6 linked regions of the Cricetulus griseus genome follow. The protein of the gene in region 2 purifies or fractionates together with the protein of the main gene of each other region. This does not show direct contact. Links are inferred from orthologs where the notes say so. Each region holds a gene or a part of one and is shown on either strand. Other genes may lie near its edges.

The links.
Region 1: the proteins of Arid1a (region 2) and Smarcd2 purify together in Homo sapiens (affinity purification with mass spectrometry; 7 studies listed by BioGRID and IntAct, with this or other methods). This does not show direct contact. The link is inferred for Cricetulus griseus from reciprocal best matches to the Homo sapiens genes ARID1A and SMARCD2.
Region 3: the proteins of Arid1a (region 2) and Bcl7a purify together in Homo sapiens (affinity purification with mass spectrometry; 5 studies listed by BioGRID and IntAct, counting the BioPlex papers as one, with this or other methods). This does not show direct contact. The link is inferred for Cricetulus griseus from reciprocal best matches to the Homo sapiens genes ARID1A and BCL7A.
Region 4: the proteins of Arid1a (region 2) and Dpf2 purify together in Homo sapiens (affinity purification with mass spectrometry; 6 studies listed by BioGRID and IntAct, counting the BioPlex papers as one, with this or other methods). This does not show direct contact. The link is inferred for Cricetulus griseus from reciprocal best matches to the Homo sapiens genes ARID1A and DPF2.
Region 5: the proteins of Arid1a (region 2) and Bcl7c purify together in Homo sapiens (affinity purification with mass spectrometry; 5 studies listed by BioGRID and IntAct, counting the BioPlex papers as one, with this or other methods). This does not show direct contact. The link is inferred for Cricetulus griseus from reciprocal best matches to the Homo sapiens genes ARID1A and BCL7C.
Region 6: the proteins of Arid1a (region 2) and Ss18 purify together in Homo sapiens (affinity purification with mass spectrometry; 7 studies listed by BioGRID and IntAct, counting the BioPlex papers as one, with this or other methods). This does not show direct contact. The link is inferred for Cricetulus griseus from reciprocal best matches to the Homo sapiens genes ARID1A and SS18.

The regions. Positions count from the first base shown.
Region 1 is NC_048600.1:119,215,488-119,218,987, forward strand, and holds part of Smarcd2 (SWI/SNF-related matrix-associated actin-dependent regulator of chromatin subfamily D member 2), read right to left. Parts: intron 1,727-3,500; coding exon 1,542-1,726; intron 1,391-1,541; coding exon 1,348-1,390; intron 1,211-1,347; coding exon 1,088-1,210; intron 1-1,087. UniProt on the Homo sapiens protein: Involved in transcriptional activation and repression of select genes by chromatin remodeling (alteration of DNA-nucleosome topology).
Region 2 is NC_048595.1:19,515,206-19,519,294, forward strand, and holds the start of Arid1a (AT-rich interactive domain-containing protein 1A), read left to right. Parts: upstream 1-1,289; 5' UTR 1,290-1,424; coding exon 1,425-2,420; intron 2,421-4,089. UniProt on the Homo sapiens protein: Involved in transcriptional activation and repression of select genes by chromatin remodeling (alteration of DNA-nucleosome topology).
Region 3 is NC_048597.1:103,112,820-103,116,834, forward strand, and holds the start of Bcl7a (B-cell CLL/lymphoma 7 protein family member A), read left to right. Parts: upstream 1-1,215; 5' UTR 1,216-1,729; intron 1,730-1,756; exon of another isoform or gene 1,757-1,842; intron 1,843-1,956; exon of another isoform or gene 1,957-1,994; intron 1,995-2,000; exon of another isoform or gene 2,001-2,114; 5' UTR 2,115-2,118; coding exon 2,119-2,210; intron 2,211-4,015.
Region 4 is NC_048596.1:53,430,647-53,434,578, forward strand, and holds the start of Dpf2 (zinc finger protein ubi-d4), read left to right. Parts: upstream 1-1,132; 5' UTR 1,133-1,250; coding exon 1,251-1,282; intron 1,283-3,932. UniProt on the Homo sapiens protein: Plays an active role in transcriptional regulation by binding modified histones H3 and H4. Is a negative regulator of myeloid differentiation of hematopoietic progenitor cells. Might also have a role in the development and maturation of lymphoid cells.
Region 5 is NC_048596.1:73,057,040-73,061,040, forward strand, and holds the start of Bcl7c (B-cell CLL/lymphoma 7 protein family member C), read left to right. Parts: upstream 1-1,201; 5' UTR 1,202-1,449; coding exon 1,450-1,541; intron 1,542-2,013; coding exon 2,014-2,092; intron 2,093-2,481; coding exon 2,482-2,590; intron 2,591-2,667; coding exon 2,668-2,832; intron 2,833-4,001. UniProt on the Homo sapiens protein: May play an anti-apoptotic role.
Region 6 is NC_048595.1:221,684,216-221,688,417, reverse strand, and holds the start of Ss18 (protein SSXT), read right to left. Parts: upstream 2,801-4,202; 5' UTR 2,712-2,800; coding exon 2,643-2,711; intron 1-2,642. UniProt on the Homo sapiens protein: Appears to function synergistically with RBM14 as a transcriptional coactivator. Isoform 1 and isoform 2 function in nuclear receptor coactivation. Isoform 1 and isoform 2 function in general transcriptional coactivation.

The sequences.
Region 1 (3,500 bases), on a different chromosome or scaffold from region 2:
GGAGGGCAGTCTGGGGAGGCGTGTACCGTCAGGGAGCCCTGCTCACCCCTGAGCAAGGCCGCCCGTCAGGCAGGGAGGGCAGTCTGGGGAGGCGTGTACCGTCAGGGAGCCCTGCTCACCCCCGAGCAAGGCCGCCCGTCAGGGAGGGAGGGCAGTCTGGGGAGGCGTGTACCGTCAGGGAGCCCTGCCCTAGCACCCCCGAGCAAGGCCGCCCGTCAGGGAGGGAGGGCAGTCTGGGGAGGCGTGTACCGTCAGGGAGCCCTGCTCACCCCCGAGCAAGGCCGCCCGTCAGGGAGGGAGGGCAGTCTGGGGAGGCGTGTACCGTCAGGGAGCCCTGCCCTAGCACCCCCGAGCAGGGCCGCCCGTCAGGGAGGGCAGTCTGGGGAGGCGTGTACCGTCAGGCAGGGAGGGCAGTCTGGGGAGGCGTGTACCGTCGGGCAGGGAGGGCAGTCTGGGGAGGCGTGTACCGTCAGGCAGGGAGGGCAGTCTGGGGAGGCGTGTACCGTCAGGCAGGGAGGGCAGTCTGGGGAGGCGTGTACCGTCAGGCAGGGAGGGCAGTCTGGGGAGGCGTGTACCGTCAGGGAGCCCTGCTCACCCCCGAGCAAGGCCGCCCGTCAGGGAGGGAGGGCAGTCTGGGGAGGCGTGTACCGTCAGGGAGCCCTGCCCTAGCACCCCCGAGCAAGGCCGCCCGTCAGGGAGGGAGGGCAGTCTGGGGAGGCGTGTACCGTCAGGGAGCCCTGCTCACCCCCGAGCAAGGCCGCCCGTCAGGGAGGGAGGGCAGTCTGGGGAGGCGTGTACCGTCAGGGAGCCCTGCCCTAGCACCCCCGAGCAGGGCCGCCCGTCAGGGAGGGCAGTCTGGGGAGGCGTGTACCGTCAGGCAGGGAGGGCAGTCTGGGGAGGCGTGTACCGTCGGGCAGGGAGGGCAGTCTGGGGAGGCGTGTACCGTCAGGCAGGGAGGGCAGTCTGGGGAGGCGTGTACCGTCAGGCAGGGAGGGCAGTCTGGGGAGGCGTGTACCGTCAGGCAGGGAGGGCAGTCTGGGGAGGCGTGTACCGTCAGGCAGGGAGGGCAGTCTGGGGAGGCGTGTACCGTCAGGGGCTTCTTGATGGCCTCTTGGATCTCCATCCGCTTGCGAGCGATGGTCTGGTCCAGCTTCCTCTCAAAAGCCAAGAGGTCCATGTACGCCTGAGACTCTGGGACAAGCTCCCGGATCTGCAGATTGAGAAATGCAGCGGCTTGCTCCACCAGCTCCAGTTCTACAGTCCTTCCTCCCTTCCCCATTGCAGGATTGGGGAAGATGGCTCTGATGCTAGCCAGCCAGAGCTGGGCAGGCTTCCTAACACACTCACTCGCTGAGGTAGAACCTTATCTGCCATCTTCCTCCTCTTTAGCCTAGGAAGGAAACAGAAACCATTTAAGAGGTTAACAGTCCAAACTCTCCATCTTCAAAACCCTCTCCCAAATTGCCAAGAGTCTCCTTGGGGTCAAGGTAGAGGGAAACTGAACGCCAGAGATGAGCTAGCAAGGCACAAGAATGTCTTACCCTCGGCGCTGGGCAGGCATTGGGGGCTGGGCCTGAGGCACAAGCAGGCGTTTTCGGAATGGATCCATCATGGTAGGTGGCATGCCAGGTCGAAGCGGAGCAGCTGTGCCAAACGGGGAGCCAGCTGGAGGTCCCACCTGCAAGCCAGCCATGGGCATCCTGCTTCCTGGTGACATGCCAGGTCGCTGGGTAAAGTGGAACAGTGGGGGTGCACAGGTCAGTGGCAAAGCCCTACGAGGTCCATAGCCCATACCCTCCATCTCTCTCGAGCATGGGGAGACCTGCTGGAGACCAGGAACAAAGGGGAACAGGCGCCTGAGCCCAGCGTGTAAACCACACCTGCCCCGCCCCTGCAACCGCCCTGGCAGGCAGTGCCAACAAATGAGGCAGCCAGAGTCCATGGGTGGGAGGGGAGCACCACTTGCAGAAAGAAGGGCCTGGGGAATTTTTTAGGACTTATCACCCCTTCCCAGCTTCAATATGCCATGTCCTGCACCCTGGGGTGAGCCAGCTTTGAGCAATTTATTGTCTTTAGATGGGCCACTATATACTCCCTATTCCTTTCCCCATCCTGAAGAAAAAACATTACTTGGGTGATTAGGGGCAATGCATAGCAACCCAAGGGAGTACAGGAGTTATAACAGTCTGATGGGGTATGCATGTCTAGTGGCATGACTGGGGAAGAAAGGCAGTCAGTGGGGTGGCAAGCCATCAGGCAGCAGCACCCCAGGTGAGCAAGGACAATAGGATGGCTTGGCCATGTCACAGCTTGTGGAGATGGCCTCAGGAGAGTGCAGACACCATCTGGCCACCATATGGCCTCCACATAGCCGGGACCTGTCCTTCCCCCACCCTTCTCTCTCACACTCTTCCCTGCCACCATGCCCCTACCTATGTCAAAGGACTCCCAAAAGGGAAGTTATGGTTCTTGGGAGCCTGTGGGAATGAGAGCAGCAGACATCTGGATTCTGCCCATGGTCTAGGCACCACCTGGCAGCCAGGCTGCTGCTGGTTCAACTTAACCCTAGACATCCCAAGCTGCAGAATAAGACTGACCTGGGATGCAAGGGCTTAATAAGGGTCAACAGCAACAAGTAGCTTCTTGGTTTCTCATCCAAGGCCCTGTTCCCCAACATTTCTGGGAGCCCTCCACCTCCCAACTCCATTCACATGGCTGCTGCCTGAAAGGCCTGTTTGGCAGCTCTGCCTTGCACAGACTGTCCCTGGCAGCTTCACAGGGCTGGCCCCAGGGCCCAGGTTATGCAATCAATCAGTACAACCAGACAACCAGGCCAGCCTGGGTGGAGATTCACACCAAGTTAAAGGAGACCCCCCTCTCAGCATCCTGGAGATGAGTCTCTGCAATTTCTTTATCCAGCACTAAACCCATGTTCTCAACCACAGAAGGTCAGATTCATGACCAGTAGCAGAGACGGAGGGAAAGAAACATGACCCAGAGACAAGGAGCAGGGTGACAGGGAGGCATGTGGCAATTGAGGAGTTAAAAGTGGGAGACCCTGGGACCTCGGGAGTCCTGCCACAAGTCTCTCCTCATCAGGAAGAAATTCATCAAAGCTGTTGAAAGGCAAAAGCAGCCTGTTTCTCTGCCCTAATAAGCCAGAGCCAGAAATTAAAGGGGGGGGGAGGGTAGACAACAACTCAGGGTTGCCACAGCTGTAAGACCCTCCACCATCATCCAAGACTTCAGGTTTTCCTAGGGTAATTGCAGCTATAAGCTGGGGTGTTCAGTGCCCCCAAGCTCTTCACTGAAGTTCATAAAGCCTGTTCTACTGCTGAGCCCTCCAGGAAATCCCAAGTCGAAGCAGCCCAGGCAGGCCTGGAATAGGCCCCACCCAGACATCTGCTCCAGACTTCTGGGGCTCAGGCTCCAGGCCCCCAGCTCACCCAGAACCTCAGGGGAAGGCTGCTCACAATTCAAGTCCCAGTTCCCCCTGGCCA
Region 2 (4,089 bases):
CGGGCTAATGAGGGCAGGGACCTGAGAACGGATAGTTTGAACAATGGTCAGTCCTCCTTTGGGGCTAGCCAAAGGGGTAAGAAGCAGGGCGCACTCAGCAGGTCTGCAAAAGGCTTTGAAGAAGAAAAGTGCTGGAGAGGTGCTAAGTCGCAGCCAAGAGACCAGGCCCTGTGCCAGGGGGGTCAGGCCCGGGCCGCGGCGGCCGCGGTTTCGGGCTCAGGCCAATTTTGCAGGCGCGGGTAAAGTTCATGCGGCCGGCTCCCTTCGGGGCGGCCAGGAGGGGACAGGCCAGGATGGGAACGCCGCGAGAGAGGCGGCGCAGGCTCCGGAGGCGCCAGCTCCGGACCGGGTTTTCCCCGAAGCCTTCGGCGGCGGCGCTGCCGAGCGAAAGAGGCTGAGGGCTTGCCGCCGCCGCCGCCGCGGCTCGTTCTCTCCCCTCCTCCTTTGTGAGGGGAAGGGAGCGAGTCCATTCCACGGCCTGCGCCCGCTCCGCGCTCCACTCCGGGTTTTTCAGGCGGCCGCGACGGCGCTGGGTAAAATGGCAGTGCTGAGCCTCGTGTCGGAGTGAGGGGGACTCGGAGGAGAGTGGGGCGCTCTAGCCGCTCAGTCCCGCCGCCGCCCGCCCGCCCGCCCCGCCTCGCTCGCCCGCCCGCCGCCGCCGCCGCCGCGCAGCAGCCTCGGCCCGAGCCGCGGCCGGGGAGGCGAGGCAGGGCGCCCGCCAGAGCCGCGCTCCTTCCTACTCTGCCCCGGCGCCCCGTCCGCTGCCGCGCGCCCTCCAGCCCGCCCGTCCGGGTCCCCCCTCCCCCCGCTCCCTCCCCCTTCCCGCCCTCCCCCTCGCCTCCCTCCCTCCCTCCCTCCCTCCTTTCTCCGGCAGCAGAAAGCGGAGAGTCACAGCGGGGCCAGGCCCTGGGGAGCGGAGCCTCCACCGCCCCCCTCATTCCCAGGCAAGGGCTTGGGGGGAATGAGCCGGGAGAGCCGGGTCCCGAGCCTACAGAGCCGGGAGCAGCTGAGCCGCCGGCGCCTCGGCTGCCGCCGCCGCCGCCTCCTCCTCCTCCTCCGCCGCCAGCCCGGAGCCTGAGCCGGCGGGGCGGGGGGAGAGGAGCGAGCGAGCGCAGCACAGCGCAGCAGCGGAGCCCCGCGAGGCCCGCCCGGGCGGGTGGGGAGGGCAGCCCGGGGGACTCGGCCCGGGCGGGGTGGGAGGGGGAGAAGACGAAGACAGGGCCGGGTCTCTCCGCGGACGAGACAGCGGGGATCATGGCCGCGCAGGTCGCCCGCCGCCGCCCAGCAGCCTGGGCAACCCGCCGCCGCCGCCCTCGGAGCTGAAGAAAGCCGAGCAGCAGCAGCAGCAGCAGCGGAGGAGGCGGGGGGCGAGGCGTGGCGGCGGCGGGGCGGCGGCGGCAGCGGCAGCGGCCGAGCGCGGGGAAATGAAGGCAGCCGCCGGGCAGGAGAGCGAGGGCCCCGCTGTGGGGCCGCCGCAGCCGCTGGGAAAGGAGCTGCAGGACGGGGCCGAGAGCAATGGGGGTGGCGGCGGCGGCGGAGCCGGCGGTGGCGGCGGTGGCGGCGGCGGGGCCGGCGCGGAGCCGGACCTGAAGAACTCGAACGGGCCTAGGCCCGCCCTGAACAATAACCTCACGGAGCCGCCCGGCGGCGGCGGCGGCGGCAGCAGCGACGGGGTGGGGGCGCCTCCTCACTCCGCTGCGGCCGCCCTGCCGCCCCCAGCCTACGGCTTCGGGCAGCCCTACGGCCGGAGCCCGTCTGCCGTCGCCGCCGCCGCGGCCGCCGTCTTCCACCAACAACATGGCGGACAACAAAGCCCTGGCCTGGCAGCGCTGCAGAGCGGCGGCGGCGGGGGCCTGGAGCCCTACGCCGGGCCCCAGCAGAACTCGCACGACCACGGCTTCCCCAACCACCAGTACAACTCCTACTACCCCAACCGCAGCGCCTACCCCCCGCCCCCCCAGGCCTACGCGCTGAGCTCCCCGAGAGGTGGCACTCCGGGCTCCGGCGCGGCGGCCGCCGGCTCCAAGCCGCCTCCCTCCTCCAGCGCCTCAGCCTCCTCGTCGTCTTCGTCCTTCGCTCAGCAGCGCTTCGGGGCCATGGGGGGAGGCGGCCCCTCAGCGGCCGGCGGGGGAACTCCCCAGCCCACCGCCACCCCCACCCTCAACCAACTGCTCACGTCGCCCAGCTCGGCCCGGGGCTACCAGGGCTACCCCGGGGGCGACTACGGCGGCGGGCCCCAGGACGGGGGCGCGGGCAAGGGCCCGGCGGACATGGCCTCGCAGTGCTGGGGGGCTGCGGCGGCGGCGGCGGCGGCGGCGGCAGCGGCCGCCTCGGGAGGGGCCCAACAAAGGAGCCACCACGCGCCCATGAGCCCCGGGAGCAGCGGCGGCGGGGGGCAGCCGCTCGCCCGGACCCCTCAGGTACACAGCTGAGCGGGGAGGGGGCTGGGGCGAGCGGGGCCGGGGGCGGGTGGGTGGCGGCCGCGGGGAGCAGGCCCCGGCCCTGGGCTCCCCTCAGGTCTGGGCCCCCGCTGCCGGGGAGCTGCCATTGTCTGGCTCTTCTCTCTTAAAATGGCTGCCTGTCTGCCTTCCTCTCCTTCCCTTCGTCAGCCTTTGTGTGGGCCTTCTCCAGAGGTGTCTGTCCGGTTTCTCCCTCTCCGCGGGTGCTTTCGAACTCTGGGGGGCTCCAGGGGGGTGCGGAGCCAAGTGGGCCTGGAAGGGCCAGGCCCGGGCGCGGGGGTGCTGGGGGTTTCGGGTTCGGGGTGTAGGCAGTGTCAGGAACCCGGGAGACAGAAGCAACATTTTCTGGCTCGCCTGCCGCTCCTCTGTCCCCCCCCCCCTTGCCTTCCTCTCGGCCGTCCCCTGATATGTGCTTTTAGAGAGTGGCCCCTAGGGCTCGGGGGACCTCGGGGGAGAGCTGGGGCCTGCTCGGGGGCAGCTTGAGGCCGACTGTGGTTCGCCCTGGGCCGCCCGGGCCACCTCTTGCCTTAGTCTCAGCCGGCCCAGTGGCCTGGGCTTCTCTCTGGAAGTGCTGGTAAACAGCTGAGTGATTGGAGTAGTAAGTGCAGATTGCTTTGGTTTGGGATTTGAATTATGGAGGTAAAATCCTTCTGTCAAAGCCAGGAGACAGTTGGTCTTAGGTTGACATCCTATCTGTGATCTGATTGGCTCCCCATCTTCTGCTCTTGGCCATTTATAATTGCCTCTGATGTAATGGTACAACAATCCTGATGAGCTCATAAACTTTTACACTCTGCTTTTCTGCCAGTGATAACCCAAACCATCGCTGCCACTATCCGCCTTTTATTCCAGAGCTGAAATTGGCTGTGACCTTGAGGAGGGAGGTTTAAGCAGCAATACTGTATCAGTAGGAGCAGAGCCCCAGACAGGCTGCCCTTGTTACATTGTGCTTGAAACAAAAGAGGAGGCGATGGCATTTTGCTTGTACCTTGGATTTATTTTGCTTGTTATGTTTTATGCAGACTGAAATAGATTCTGTGTTGTTGGAACAGTAGCTGAGTTTTTCTCTACAATGGGTTAGCTGTTTGTTTTGGTTTCGTGACTTTCCTGATGGCATAAATGAGTTCTTTGATGGCTCTGAGGGTACATTTGTCTTGAGTAATTTTTGACACTGTTCCATTTTACAGAACCGAAATTATTTTACTGGCCTTTTTTATTGAATGGCAAATGTGGGATCTGTAGGGGAAGAAGATGGTTTTTGTTAATATTTTTGCTCAGAGCTTTCTGATGAAATTTGATATTAGGATCAAGAGTTCCCTTTTAAGCAAGGCTTTCGCCTTTCTTTGTTTACATGTCGAATCTTGTTAACACTTTTCTTTTGTTAATTGAACTTTGGGAGAACAGTTCAATTGAAAGAGATGTTGATGTCTTCCAGATTTAGAGAGGGATTGTCTCCTAAAGGCTTGTTGTAAGAAATTTATGACTTGTTCCTGGAATATTAGTTTTGCCACCAGTCATTTTAGAGCTTTAAATGGAGATTGGCCAATATTTTTCTTTGTATTTTAAGTTGTGTCTTTTTTCTTTTTTCCCTTTTTTCTTTCAGGGTGTAAAGATGTGAACTACAATGACT
Region 3 (4,015 bases), on a different chromosome or scaffold from region 2:
CAATCAGAACAACTTTCAGGAGTCAGTTCTCTCTTTCCACAATGTGGGTTCTGGGAATTGAACTCTTGTCTTCAGGCTTGACTGCAAATGTATGTATGTATATATGTATATAGTTTGTTTGAGACAGGATTTCTCTGTGTAACATGCTTTGGAGCATGTCCTGGAACTCCTTCTGTAGACTAGGCTGGCCTCAAACTCACAGAGATCTGCCTTCATCTGCCTCCCAAATGCTGGGGTTAAAAGTGTGTGCCACCATCACCTGGCTACAAGTGCATTTACTAAGCTGTCTTGCTGACCTGATGTGTGGATTTGTTTATGTCTTATTTTTAAAGTATATACATACATACATACATGTACATACACATGTACACACACACATTCTATGTGGGAACTATGGAACAGCACTTGTCTAGCACTAAACAAAAACTAATTCCCTCAGGCCCAAGCAGGGAATTGAACTGAGGGTCAAAATTATGAGACTTCTGATTTATGGCATATTTTCCAATCCAGCACTCAGAATGGTTCTCTAACATAATTGTTTTAGTTTTTTGTTTATTTTGCTTTTCAAGACAGGGTTTCTCTATTCTAGATCTCACTCTATAGGCCCAGATGGCCTCAAACTCACAGAGGCCCACCTGCCTGTGCCTTGAGTGCTGGGATTAAAGGGGTGCACCACCACAACCTGGGTGTTTGATTTTATTTATTTATTTATTTATTTATTTATTTATTTATTTAGAGACAGGGTCTCACTATTTAGTCCTGGCTAGCCTGGAATTCCTTACATAAGCCAGGCTGGCCTTGAACTCACGGAGATCTGCCAGCTTCTGCCTCCCAAGTGCTGGGATTAAAGGAGTAGGCCACCATGCCGGACTACTGTTCTTATTTTTATTTTTCACATTAGGGCCATGTGATTGAAATGGTAAAATGATGTGCTTGGGGGGAAAGCCCATACATTTTGTTCTCATTCTCCGCTAGCTCTCTCTACCAGACCCCAGCACCGTCCCCAAACTTTAGGGGGTAACACAATCAATGCCGTCACAGAAGAAGTTCATGGCTGCAACCTGGAATAACTCCTTTCCTCAGTTTCCCCACCTGTGAAATGACTTGAGTTGGGCTAGTTCTTCTCCAGGCACTGGTTTGCTCACATTAGGTCATCTCTTTTCCCAGCATCCACCTGGGCAAGCATTTGCTCTGGTCCAGTCGGTTTAGCCTCAGCTGCCTACCTATCTGTCCCTATCCTAATTGACCGCAGTAGATTCTGCCACCTAGTTCTGTCCTGGGATCGGGAACAGCCCCTCAAAAGTCTTTCTGAGTTGGACCAGTCCAGTTTACCAGCTGCTCCCGGTCAGTAAACTGCGCTTCCACCAGGAGCCGTTTAAGATTAATTTGTGGTCCTGTGACCTACGCCAGCGAGCTTTATCCCCGACTGGGACAATTTATCTCCAAGGAAAAGGAAGCCTTGCGACAATGCCTACAGCCACCGGCCTCTGGCACCTTAAACTGCGACCCTAGTTTGATCATGGTGAGGCAGACGTCCTAGCTCGCACATTTCAACAAGGCAGCTAGCTGGCCAGAAACCGGCACCTCAACTCTTTCCAAGATCACGAGTCCGGAACCACCGCCTCCAACTCTGAGAAGTCAAGCGCCCGACAAGTAACTTGCACGATCGCACCCGAGGCCACCAACCCAAGGCCAGGGCACCCACGGCCTCCTGTCTGCCATCCCCAGGGTGTGTGTCTTGGGGGGAGGGGTTCCCACCACATCCGCGGCCTCCGGGGGAGTCGGCGCGCGGGCCAGTCCCGCGTGCTGGGAGGTCGCGGTCATCCCTGATCGTTTCCCTGGGTGAGGTCCCCGAGGCTCCCCGGGGAGGGCGGCGGCGCCCGGAGGCCGCACTAGTGGCGGCCGCGCCGCTCCCCCTCGCTCTGTGCAGCTGCCGCCCGGCGCTTGCGCACTGGGCCCCGGGCGCGCGGCGGCACCAGGCTTTGTGTGTGCGCGTATGTGTGTGAGTGTGTGTCTGTGCGCGAGTGAGAGAGCGGGCGAGTGTGGCGAGCAGGACCCGGCGGGCGCGCTCCCCCAGCCTCTCTCTCTCTCCTCTCTCTCTCCCTCCCCGCCAGAACCATGTCGGGCAGGTCGGTTCGAGCCGAGACCAGGAGCCGGGCCAAAGATGATATCAAGAGGGTCATGGCGGCTATCGAGAAAGTGCGCAAATGGTAAGCCGAGGCGCCTGCTCGCTCTCTCGCTCGCCCCGGCTCGCTGCACCGCGCCACGGCCGCTGGCTAGCCCGGACCCAGCTCACGGAACCGCGGGGCGCAGCGGCCCCGGGCCCGGAGTTGGCGAGGACGCGCGGCCCGGGTCACCTGCGCCCCGCGGGGGCTGCGTCCGCTGCCCAGGTGTGCTTGGCGCGGGGTCGCCCACCTGGCGGCGGCGGCGGCGGCGGCGGCGACAGCGGCAGCGGCGGCGAAGGCGACGGCGGCTGCAACCCGGAGCTCGGAGCTCGGGAGAGGGGGGTTCGCGGCCGGCCCCAGAAGCCATTTCGTTTTTTTGTGCAAGTCACATGAAAGCGGCTTCCCGCGCGCCGGGGCCGTGATGCCGGCGGTGGCGGCGGGCAGAGCGCGAGCTCCATTGTGCGGCGCGGAGCGGGCCGCCGTCTCCTCCCGGGGCGGCGCGGCGCCGGTGTCCCCCCAAAACACACACACACACACACACACACATACACACACACACCCCACGCCCCGACCCGACCCGCCCGCAGCTCCCCGCCTCCCGGGCCTCGGCGCCCTCGAGTCTGCGGAGTTTGCAGAGCGCGAGCCGTTTAAATTTAGCGCTTTGGGCAGCCTGGAGCGAGGGCTCCGGGCGAGGAAGGAAGATGGGGGCGAGCGCTGGGAAGGCGGTGGCGCGGCTGGCGAGCGGGGCACCCGCGGCTCCCACCCGCTCCGCGCGGCACCCGGAGCTCGGGGGACGCGATGTTTGCTGCCAGAAGCCAAGTCCTGGGCCGTGTCTGCCTTCTCCGAGCTGGAGCTGGTGTTTGTTTTGCGGAGAGAGCGAGCGACCGTTGTTTTTGTTCTCTGCACTGGGGGAGGAGGAGGGGACCGCGAGATTCGGTGTGGGCCGTGCGTGTTTTTCAAGCTCAAATTAGATCGTGCCCGGCGTGGCCTCGTTATAATTAGCAGGATGGAACATTTTCACGGGCCTCGTCGGGATCTGACTCCCAGGAGGCCCTAGAGGCCAGGCCGGAGGCGCCAGTAGTCCACCTCCAGGTTGGGTCAGACTTGTTGAAAACTCCCTGCTCCCCAATTTCAACTTTATTATGTCTTTTTTTTTTTTTTTTTCTCACGGCTTCATCAGGGTCCGAGAGGGAGACGAGCAGCCGCGAGGGTGCCCCTAAGTGTCAGCGGCCGTGGGCTGGTCCCGTCCTTTATAGGAACTGGCCAGGCCCCGCTGCAGGCTGTTTCTTTGGGGGGTGTCATTTCTTGAGTAACGCCGCTGTTGTTATTGCCTTTAAAAAAAAAAAAAAAACACTACTCGGGGGCCTGTCTCAGGTCTGGTGGTGTCACAAGTTAGCTGTCCTTTCAGAGTGAAACCCAACAAAAAAAAGGCAAGGAGAAAAATCAATAAAGTCCACGTGCTCCCGGGCCTCCTATGGAAAGGGCTGTCTTCGGATGGCCGGATGCCTGCCGTGGGCTGGGTTTGGCTCCAGTGGGACAAAGAATTTTCACAACCGTGAGAAGGGGAGGCTTTCCAAAGTTGAGATCCAAGTCCTGGGTGCCGGGAGCTCCCCTGCTGAGCAAGGCGCCCAGTGCCCAACTGGAGCCATTTAAAAATGGCAGAAACAGCTGCAGGCCAAAACACAGAGGAAAACAACACAGTGCCCCCTCTCCTGTGGGACTCTCAAGGGAAGGCTGAGGTGCCCCCCCTCCCCTGCCTCAGTCCTGGTGCAAAGAAAGAACTGATATCAGGGCGTGAGTCACTTCTGTCTGTCACCCTCCTGGAGGGTAGAAAGGGGCCGGTGTAAGCT
Region 4 (3,932 bases), on a different chromosome or scaffold from region 2:
GCCCTCTTCTGGCCTCATCCTAGCACCAAGCACACATGTGCACAGACATACCTGCAAACAAAACATAGTTTAAAAATTAAAAGAAAATTACACCTGAGGGCTGGAGATAGTGGTTAAGAGTATTTGCTGCTCTACCAGAGAACACATATGGAATACATATATACACATATACACAAATCTTTTTTAGTTAGTTTGTTTTTTGAGACAGGGTTTCTCTGTGTAGCTCTGTGGGCCAGGCTGGCCTTGAACTCAGAGACTTGCCTACCTCTGTCACCTGAGTGCTGACATTAAAGGATGCACCATATTGTCCAGCTTGAAATTTCGTCTCAAAAACCAAAACAAAAAATACAAGTAAAAATTTAAAAGACAGTGTACCATAGGGACACTTGACATTGTTGGCTGTCCAATAATGCCTCTTTGTATTTTAGGACTTCATTTCGATTGTGGTATTTGAGGGATCTGCCTCCTCCATTTATCTACATTCATCACATTGGAAATTTTCACTGGTGTGAATGTGCTTAGGAATATAGCAAGCAAAGGGTTGGTGGGATGTCTCAGCGGCTAAGGGCACTTGCCACCAAGCCTGACAACCTTGACTACCCCCAAACCCACAAAGTGGAAGGAAAGAACGGACTCTGCAAATTGCTGTCTGATCCCCACACATGTACCACGGCACATACACGCACACACGGAGAAGCATACACACTAAAGGAAAGCATTATTATTATTTTAAGAGAGAAGAGGTAGGTACCAGTGAAGTTCAAGGACGAGGATTACTGCCAGGAAAGTATGGTAATTGCCAGAACGCGGGAGTCAGGCCAACGAGCATCCTACCCTGGGAGTTCACTTTTAAAACGGGTCGATGTTTGGGAACACTGGTACCTAGTGGCTTTTCACTGCCCAACTAACTGCCGCTCCCTTGCGGCTAACAGTCGCCACCTGTCTCCGTAGCCTTTTCGCCTACCTTTCTCACTTTCCAGCCACGGCAGACCCCCTCTCTGAGGCTCCGCTAAACGGAGGAGGCGGATCCTCTAGACGGAGAAGCAGCGTGCGCGTTCGTCTCTCCAGCCGCGCCTGCGCATTGGGCTCCCTCGCGCTCGTTCCCAGCTCTTGAGCGGGTGGGCTAGTGCGTGCGCGCACCCTCGGTTGCGCCTGCGCAGAGAGTCGAGTACTGTGTGCCCTGAGTAGGCTTAGCGCCTGCGCGTTGCGGGCTTCGGGGCCTCCCGGCCTGAGGGAGAGGAGCAGGGAAGATGGCGGCTGTGGTGGAGAATGTAGTGAAGCTGTGAGTGGTCTTTCTTTCTTTCTTTCTTTTTTTTTCCCTCCCTCCCGGACCAGAGGTCATGCAGAGGGGCCTGGGAGTAGAGACGGGGGTGCGGGAGGAGACAAGACAGAGGGAAGGACGTGCCCGGGAAGTCCTTGCTGTGCGACTCCTGGTAGGGAGGGCAACAGAAGACTCCGGAGAAGACGCCAGGCTTCTTTAGGAAACTTGTGGAGGCCGGGAGGGGGCACACGGGAGCCCCTGACGGGCGTCCTCCTCGCGAGCCGAGTCCCGAGCGTAGCTACGGGCTGTGACCGAGGGGCGCACGGTTCTCGGCCCCTCTCCGGAGACGCGTCAGTTTCGCGGAGCCAGCCGAGGCCGAGCGGCCCTGGAGGTCGCGGTCCCTTCCCCGCCCACCGCCCTCCCTGGGGTCCCGAGACTTGAGCAGTCCGGTGACATTAACTAGGAAATCCGGAGTGCCGGAGACTAAGTGTTCTTGGAAAGAATTGATCCAAGAGTAGATAGATCCGGCAGGGAAAGAACTCCGGGGAGCGGGGAACCAGACCGGAACCCCCCTGATCTCCTAGCAGGAGTCCCTAGGTGGGCGTTCTCTGTACCGTAGATGCCATTGTGCTGAAGTTAACGGTTATTGGGAAACACTGGGAATGGGGACTGGCCTCTTAGCCGCTTCCCGTGAGTTACAGATGTTTGGGGTTTTGATGTGTTTCATCCTCCTTCCTCCTCGAAGAAGAATCTGAGCGACTTTTGGAATGGGGTGGTTAATGCCCATTAGACTTAAAAAATGACCTTCTCTTTAATAGCCATGTTGGGCGTGATAGAAGGGGAGAAAAATTGAAGTATTCAGCTGTCCAGTCAAAGCTTTTGGATTCTGAATGACAAAGTAAAGGTTTGGGAACTATTCTGGGGGACTTTTCACAGCTTCTCTCGCCCGTCTTTGTCGTGGGCAGACTCCCAGTCGTCGCAAGAGCCCCCTCCCCCCGTTAAGGTTAAGTTGCTTCTCCCCCGCCGCCGCTTGGAGCCCTTTTCTTCGAAAATGCTTTCCCACTTCCATTAAGCTAAGTGCCTTCTCTTGTGACTTTTTTTTTTTTTTTTTAACTTGCTTTTGGCTTTATCCTGCTGCTTCTTTCAGCCACCCCTCCTCCCGGCACGATTATCTTTATTTCTGATCTGCCCACTCCAGTTTCCCCAGCTCTCTTCAGTCTGACATCTCCCTCAATTCGTAAATGAGGCTGTTGATTTAACATTTTTATAGTTCTCCTTCTGGACTCAGATGTTAGTTCTTTGTTACCCTGCCTTTTTCTTTGTTGACTTTCCCTATGCCATTGGGGAGGGGGGTAGACAAGTTTCCCGTGGAAAAAGGGTCATTGCTTTTACCCCTGGAAAGCTTACTGTTATAGAGGAATGTGTTTGCCTAAGCTTTCAGAATTACATGTTAATGGAACTGTTTGTGTTGAAAGATGGTCTTCCAGAAAATGGAATTGCCAGCCCATGGGGGGGGGGTATGGATTTTAAGTGGTGGCTGCCCACTGGTTCCTGAGTGTCAGTGAGATGCCAGCGTGCTTCTCCCCAGTTGTATAGAAGACTGTGGACCACCACTATTACGTGCCTCCTCAGAGCTTCCCCTTACAGAGGGGCTTCTCATACCATTCTCACCCTGAAAGATGCTCTTCTGGTGCTATTTATTATTATTATTATTATTATTATTATTATTATTATTGTGTGCTTAAGTCTTCTGTCAGCTGACATCACACATTGAGGGCAAGACCACTGGCTCATCTTTTCTTTCATTTTTCCTGTGAGAAGACTTCCATTTTAATGATCTGTTTTTCTCAACTATGATGTCGTAATTGAAATAGTCTTTATGGTGATCTTATTAGGATAAATACTACTCTAAAATAAACATGGCTGCTAACTAGTTTTAAAAACTTCATGAGTTAGGTAAATAGAATGTCCTTAGGTCCATAGAATAATAGAAGCTTGAAATTTTTTTGCCACAGGAGTCTTGACTTTATAAGTATACTCTCCCCTTTTGCTCTCTTAAAACACACACATACCTTGAGTGTGCTCTGGTATGTACGTACATTTCATTTCTGGCCATCTTACCTACTAGACCACTTGTTCCACCTTCTAGAGTTGCACCTAACCTGCAAGAGCCCTGACCAGACATCTCAATCTCCTTGCTCTGGCTTTACAGCCTTTAGCCCCGTGGGCTGGTCCTTCCTTCCGTTTGACTTCCAGTGTCAGTATCAATTCCCATCAGCAGAAACAAAGGAGCTGCTGCACTCAGCCTTGTTTATCCAATTTTCCTGTGTGGTAAGGACGTGGCTGCCTCCTAAAGGCAGCAAATGTGAGCTTGCTCTCTTTCTGTGCTGTGCTTTCCAACACATTCGTACCTTAATTACAGTCATTACTGCTCATTGAATCGAGTCAGACTGTACTTGTAGTGTTGCTGTGTGTGGTGTGTGTCCTTTTCATTTGCTGGGCACAAACTAAGCTATGCAGTGGTCTATTGTGAATGCTCAGTGAGGGTCCCCATCAGATTCTACATCAGGACTTGTTGGCATAGCTTTAGTGGTAGGTATTAGCCAGAGAGACCTACTCCCGCCTGCTTTCCATGCCTCCTTACTCAGAATCCTGGTTGGTTAGAGCTCAT
Region 5 (4,001 bases), on a different chromosome or scaffold from region 2:
CTGCTGGCATACAGGCAGAAGACTGTATACATAAGAAATAAATAAATAAAAATCTTTAAAAAAAAAAAAAAGACTCATCCCCACTGTTGGGCATAGCAGGACTTTGATCATTCTGGCTGTTATATCTGTGTCCATGGTATAAACAGGTTGTAACTGGTTTTTCATTCCATTCTGCTGAGGAGTTGCTTCCCGGTTGGTGTTATGTGTATACCAGTACACATGTCTTGGTGTTCATATAGAAGCATTTTGTCCTAGTGAGGTTTCCATTGCTGTGATAAACACCATGATTAAAAGCAATTTAGGGAGGCAAGAGTTTATTTCAGTTAACTGTTACAGTCCATCGTGAACGGAAGTCACGGCAGGAACTCAAAAGCAGGAACCTGGAGGAAGGAACTGAAATGGGGGCCATGAAGGAACGCTGCTTACTGGCTTGCTCCCCATGGCTTTCTCAGCCTGCTCTCTTAGAGTACCCAGGACCCATCTGCTCAGGGGGTGGCATTGCCCACAGTGGTCTAGGCTTTCCCACATCAATTATTAATCAAGAATATGCCCCACAAACTTACCTATGGGGCAACACGATGGAGGCATTTTCTCAATCAAGGTCCCTTCATCCCAGATGGCCCTAGCTTATGTCGAGTAGACAAAAAACTAGACAGCACCCATTTCTTCGGTTGGGCGTTGACAGCTTGGGACTGGAATTGCTGGGAGACCGGGTTGGCATAAGTTTAGCTTCCCTGGAGAACTGCCAGTTTTCCAAAGTATCTCTACCAATGACACTCCCTGACTGAAGGAATGTCGAGGTGTTCTGCTACCTCATCTACACGGTCTGTCTTTTCCACTTCCGCCATTCTGGCTGAGGAGGCCGCTCCCCACTCGAAAGTCTGCCACGCACTTGGCGCTGTTAATGAGACTTGGATGAACGGGTGAACAAGTTAAGTTGGGCAACGTAGGATCGAACAGCCTGGAGAGGGCGGACGCACGCACACACAGCATTTCAGGGACGCCCACCCGCCGCGGACGCACACCAGGACAGTCCCTCTCGCGCACCCCTGTGCCCACGTGGCCGGAACGCACCGCCTCGCTCGGGCCGCGCGCGTCCAGCCGCACAGCTGCCCCCCAGCTCTCCCTCTCGGCGGCGGGCAGAGGGCGCTGTGCGTCCGTGCGCCCCGAGGGGCGGGCCCGGGCCGGGGCGGGGCTGGCCGGGCTTCCAGGCCGGGGCTCTAGCCGCCCGCGCCGCCCGGGCCGCTCCGGGGACGGGCCGGGGCGGGGCGCGGTCGCAGGAAGCCAGGCGGGGACGCGCGGAGGCGTTGGGGAGCGAGGGAGGGCGCGGCCAACTCCCGGAGGGACGGCAGGCCGAAAGAGCGGCGCCGGGGCCTGGCGCGCAGCCTGAGATCGCCGGACCGCAGGCCGTCCCACCACGGGCTCTATCCCGGCCCCAGCCCCGCCAGCATGGCCGGCCGGACCGTGCGGGCCGAGACCCGGAGCCGGGCCAAAGATGACATCAAGAAGGTGATGGCGACCATCGAGAAGGTCCGGAGATGGTGAGCGCTGCCCCTGGGCCAGGGACACAGCCAAGCCACCTCCTCCTAAAGCGTCCGCCCTTTCCTGGCCAGCTGCCCCCGCCCACCAGCTGTGCTCTGAATCGACTGGGCTCCCCCTTCCCCTGGCAATTCCCAGAGGTCTACAAAGCGTGGTCCGGAGTGGTGCTTTCCCAGAGCGGGAGCCCTCATCTATGCCCCGCCCCCTGGAGCTTTGACACTCTTGCAAGCTCGGCCCCGGGTCTTCCTTGCCAGAGTCCCTGGCCCAGGCCTTGGTGGCGCCCTGCCGAGTGCTCCAGGTGTCTGCAGAACCGCAGCTCTAAGTTATATCCGTCTATGTCCTGGGCTTTGCAGGGCTCTTTCTGCTTCTATGCCCTGAAAGCGAAGCTTCCCTTACCCTAGCACATCTCCCCGGCCCCCTGCTGTATGGGGCTCAACCTTCACCTCCCTGACCGGGTCTCCTGCCCTCTCACAGGGAGAAGCGCTGGGTGACTGTGGGTGACACTTCCCTTCGAATCTTCAAGTGGGTTCCTGTGGTGGATCCTCAGGAGGAGGTGAGCAAGCCCAACCCCCAACAGACCTTGCATCTGTGCAACCTCAGGCAATTTCCCTCCCCACCTTGGCCTCCACCTTAAGTCGCTTGGAGTCTCCAGTGTGGAACTCAGGCAGATGGTAACGATTATTAGCACACACACATGCGCGCGCGCGCACGCACAAATACATACATACATACATACATACACACATACACACACACACACACCACACACACACACCAGTGCGCCCCGCCCCCCCCCCCGCGCCCCGAGTTCAAGACCTAACTCAGCCCACACAACCTGAGACAGCCCCTCTTGCTTCCCTGAGCCCAGGTTTCCTTATTTATATTGAGATTTGTAAGCGCTCACCAGACAACGGGCTCTTACCTTACCACTCTAACCCTCAGGAGAGGCGTCGGGCAGGAGGCGGGACAGAGAGATCCCGTGGCCGGGAGAGACGCGGCAGGGGCACCAGTCCCAGAGGGGGTGGCCCCCTCATCCTGTTGGACCTCAATGGTATGTACAGATCTTGGAATGGGGAGGTAAGGAAGCTACTGGGGCCCCTCTGGCCAACAACTCGGCTTTTGCTTCAGCAGATGAGAACAGCAACCAGAGTTTCCATTCAGAAGGTTCACTGCAGAAGGGCACTGAGCCCAGCCCTGGGGGGACTCCTCAGCCCAGCCGTCCTGGGTCCCCGACTGGACCCCCAGAAGCTATTACAGAGGATACTCAGCCCCCACAGTTGGGCCAAGAGAGAGGTAGGACCAGGTGGCTCTCAGGAGCCCTCTCCTCTTCAAAGTTGAACCCACCATCTTGTTCTTGTTCCTCTGTCATGTCCTTTCTCCCCATCCTGCCCTGCCCACCCCCAACCTTCCCTGACCCTGGCAGAAATTACATCTAGCTGCTGTTTCAGTCCTCTGGCTTCTTAGATTTGTAGGTAGCACATCACCATCTGAAATTTTTATGCATATTTATTTCTTTGCTTGCTTATTGTCTTTTCCTGTTACCATCTCATGTCAGTCATGCCAATCTCGCTCATTACTGTAACATCAGAGTACTGTGGGATACATAATAGATGTTCAGGAAATACTTGTTGGGGGAATAAGTGATTCTGATGATCAGAGAGATTAATAGCTGTAGAGTAACGGCTAGCAAAGCCCCTTCCCCGCTAGGTGTTCTGAGCACTTCAACGTTTGTTTTTTGTTTTCTCGTTTAATCTTCACTGTCACTTTATGGGAGGATGATCCTATTACGATTGCTCTTTATACACGAGGAGCCCGTCATCCAGAGAAAGATGTCCAGACTCACAGAGCCAGTGAGCCAACACCTTGGGCCTGAGCCCTCTTCAGCCTCTCTCTTCATATAGTCGGTCCTTTGTCTGGTCAGTACTGCTTCCCAAGTGTGGCTGATTTCTGTGCCTCGGGCCCTGCCTTCTCACTTCTTACTCTGCCTGCTCTGGCCTCCCCGCCTGTCCCTAGTGGTCTCCACACAGCTGCAGAACAGCTTTTCCTGAAGCACAAATTCAAATGATTATTTTTCTGCCTCATCTCTTTCAGTGGCTCCACATGGCCTTTGGTTCGTTTTGTTTTGTTTTGTTTTGTTTTGTTTTGTGGAGCGGGGTTCGAGGCAGGGTTTCTTTGTGGCTGTGGAGCCTGTTCTGGAACTCACTCTGTAGACCAGGCTGGTCTCAAACTCAGAGATCCACCTGTCTCTGCCTCCTGAGTGCTGGGACTAAAGGCGTGCGCCACCAACACCCAGCAGCCTTTGGTTCTTTAGTTTGACACTGGGGCCATACAAACCGTTACCACTGAAATCGTTCCCCCGACAAGAACACCACGACATGGGCGGGCCTCAGGACCATGTCTAGATTGTTCCAGATACCTTTGCTAATGTGAAATGATAGGATGCAGCTCAGTGGTAGAGAGCT
Region 6 (4,202 bases), about 200 Mb from region 2:
CTCTCTCTCTCTCTCTCTCTCTCTCTCTCTCTCTCTCTCTCACACACACACACACACACCCCTGAGTGCCCACCAGGTGCATGTGAGATCAGAGGACAACTCTGTGGCATTGGTTCTCTCCTTGAACCACAATGAGCCATCCTCCAGGCCCATGTTTTTGTTTTTGAATACAAAAACATTTAATTACCTATGCTATCTGTAACTACAATTTCCACTAGCTGAAAGTTGAGTCCCAATTGGTTCTGGAGCATTCTAATGCTTTGTAGGATGAAGGGAAAAAAATCTGTCCTTACCCAGACTGAAATACACACATCAATACAGCTGCCTAGGGACTTGAAGTAACTTCTTTTCTAACTGTATAATTTGTGATTCTCCAAAACAACACATAACAGTGTTCTCTATACATTTATTATATTTAATAGAATTTGAGTTTATAATATAAAATAAGGTATCTCAGAAAGTCTAAAAAACATAAGATACACTAGGCAGTGGTAGTACATGCCTTTAATCCCAGTGGTCAGAAGGCAGAGGCAGAGGCAGAAGCAGAGGCAGAGGCAGGCCGATCTCTGTGAGTTCCAGACCAGCCTGATCTACAGAGGTATTCAAGGACAACTAGCTCTGTTACACAGAGAAACCCTGTCTCAAAAAAAAACGAAACAAAACAAAACCTATAAGATACATAAATTATCATCTTATCATGGTAATAATCTAAGCAACCGTGGCTCTGAGGGTTAAATAATTCACCTCTACCAATGGTGCCTAACAAAGAAACCCACAGAAGACTGTTTTAGTGCCAGCATGCTGTCTCTAGCACGCCACCTAAGTTTGTAGGAGCTTTAAGATCAGGGTACTGCTGATCCTGAACCCACCTTTCATGATTTCATGAATAATCAGACGACAACACCAAAACCACCATCTCAATCATTCAATGTGATTTACAGTTAAAAACAAAGATCAATTGCTATTAATTGATATTTCCTGCACATTTATCATAATCTTCCATTACTAAGGGCAAACACTTCTCTAAGGTGTGCTTCATAAATATGATCACTAGATACCAAGAATATTTTTTTTTCTTTTTGAGACAGGGTTTCTCTGGCTGTCCTGGAACTCATTAAGTAGACCTGGCTGGCCTCAAATCCAGAGATCCATCAGCCTCTGCCTCCTGAGTGCCATCAGTTCAATACTCAAACCAAGGAAAGCATGACACATTAAACCACCCCAACCATCTGTCTGTCTCCCATCTAATACCAATGTCTGACACTGCAAACAAAACTTAAGCTGAAATACAGTTTTGAGAACTGGAGAGATGGCCCAGAGGGAGGACAAGAGCACTAAATACTCTTGCTGAAGTTTGGTTCCCAGTACCCACAATGCGACTCAAAACTGGCTGTTAACTCCGGTTCCAAACAATCTGATGCACATCACACACACACACACACACACACACACACACACACACACACACACACACTAAAGTTTTAGTCCATTTTTTCACTTCTCATCTGAGAATGAAAAATAACAAGTTAGCACCTTCTAGACCACTCGCGATAAATACCTAATAAGACACATAAGGAAAAACTCTACCGAGAAAAAAGAAAACGACACTTTCTAGAGTTCAAAAAGAAAGCGCCAATCTCTACAGAAACACTTCCTGCACGTGTGTAAGGAGACTGTTCAGCAGGCTACCACTAGAGAAAACAACTGCGTTTCCAGGCACTGCCAGGAGGGTTTCTTCAAAGAAAATAAAGCAACAGTTGGGCAAATGTCAAACGCCACACTACCAAGACCCTGACAGTAAACAGAACCCAGTGGCCATTAACCCACAAGTTTTCAAGGGTGTCCTGATTGGTACTACGAGTTGACTTTCTCTCCTAAACCTTGCTCCGGGGCAGGGAACAAGATGGAAATACTCCAGGCAAACTGTTAAACTTAACAAGCGACTTTTCAAAGTCTACCAAGCTGAGAACGAGAACAGTGCCTTGCTCTTAGACTCAGGCTCGGGGGATAATAAAGAACCTTTGTGTCCCCAGTTGGCAGTCCCAGGGCGGCGACTGGGGTGGCACTCTCCTCTAAGGACGCAGCTCCCAGCGCTTCTACCCTGACTCAATGCAAACGGCCCGCCCGTCGGTGTAGACGGCCTTAGACGGCCAACTCGGGGCGGCGGGGAGCAGGTTCGCCCTCCCGAACCACAGCGCCTGCCCTGCGCGCTCAGACGCATCTACGAGGAGCAGAGGGAGACGGATCGCGGGTGCTGCTCTGCGAATCCCCGTGCCCACTGGGTCCTTCCCCGCCTGACCCGAGCCTCTGCGGAAGGTTCCCAAGTTCTCCCGGGAGGGCCTCAACTCCGAGGAGTTTGCGGCGCAACACTCCGGGCTCCCGCTTCCGCGAGCGGGGTCCCGGCGGGGCGGGGCGACGCGGGAGTCTCGCGGGCCGCTCCCCTCCCGGCCCCGCCGAGCGCACGCACGCACCCCGCGGCGCGAGGCCACCCGGCCCGCGGGGAAACCGGGCGGCGGTTGCCGGCGCTTTTGTGCGGGCAGAGCAGGCGCCAAAGGGCTCCGCTGGCTTCCCGGCGCCCGCCCCCACCACCGCCGGGCCGCTCCCCCGCCTCGGCCCGCGCTCGGGCGCCTCTCCGAGCTCACCTTCTGGATGGCGGCGGGCGTGATCTCCCCCTTGCCCCGCTGCCTCGGGGCTGCGAACGCCACGGACATGTTGCCACCGAGCCCGCGATCGGCTAGTCCGGAGCGCTCCGGGGGCCACGGAGCTGGGGGCTCGGCGCCCGCCTCCCGGGCAGGTCCACCTCACCGCGCGCGGTGGGGGAGGACGCTCCGGGCCCGCGACCATCGCCGACACCGTCGGGCTGTGCGCGGAGCTGCCGCTCCCAGCCAGGCGTCTGGAAAGTTACTCGCTGCCAGGACGGCTGGAGCCCCGCGCCCGGTCGCCCCCCGCTCGGCTGTCTGTCCTCGCACGCTGTCGGGCTGCACCCCCGCATCCGCGCTCTGATGGTAGCGCCGCGCCGACCGCCTCCGCCCGGACGCTCAGGAAATGGTCCCGCCGCGGCGGGAGGGAGCCGCCCGGCCGCGCTGTCACAGGAAACGCGGGGCCCGCCCGCCAAACTGTCCCCAACTGCGCCCGCGACCCTCTGGGGAAGAGCGGCCGTCCTGGGTCTCCCGGGCTGCCGCCGAGAGGGAAAAGGGACAACTGGGACCCAGAAGCGTCTGCCGGCTCAGCACCGAGAACGCGGATTCGCTGGTTTAAATGGCTCCCTGCGCTCCACGTGCGCACCTCGGAGTAGCTCGCCAAGTCTCGCCGAACAGTTGAAAGGAACCCGACCCTCAGCTTACCTAGGGATAGTCCCTTCCCACACTTGTGGATCCACTTGATCTGACTTAGGGCCCTTCAAAGGAAGCTGTGAAAAGGCAACCTCTTTTCCAGTGAAATACTTAGTGCTTGTTAATTAGGCCCAAGCTGCCAGGCTTCAAGTCAGTATGAGGGAAATAAAACCAACAGCTGCAAATTAATACAGGAACCCGTTGCTACGGATTAATTCTTCAAACTTAGACTTCCCAATCACACAAAAGGAAGGTTAATATGCTGTGTTATTACTCAGTGATGCTCCAAAAATAGTGCCTAAATTGTTAATAAAATGGGAAAACGCATTTTTAAAGGCTATTTCAAATTTTCGCAGGTGAGTTTAATTCATCCAACGATTCTGAGTACCAATCCTGCTGTTTGGAAGTGCTGGTGGTAGAAATGAACAACTGGACAGGAATCTCTCAAGGATATTACTCTGTTATAGAAAAGACAACAGAAACAAAGTGTGTGTGTGTGTGTGTAACGTTTAACAATTAGCAAACAAGGACAGAACTACAGGGCTGTTGGTGTGATTGAAGGTGGAAACCCGGTTTTATTTAAAGAGATCTACAGAAAGGGCTGGAGAGATAGCTTAGCTGTTAAGAGCACTGGCTGCTCTTGCAGAGGACCAGGGTTCAATTCCAAGTACACAACTAACTCCAGTTCCAGGGCATTGACACCAATTCAATGCACACAAAATAAAAGTTAAGTAAATTAAAAAAAAAAAAAAAGCTCCTCAGAGAACTCCATTTTGGAAAGGGAGGGAGGGAGGAATATATATATATATATATTATATATATATATAATATATTATATATAATATAGAGAGAGAGAGAGAGAGAGAGAGA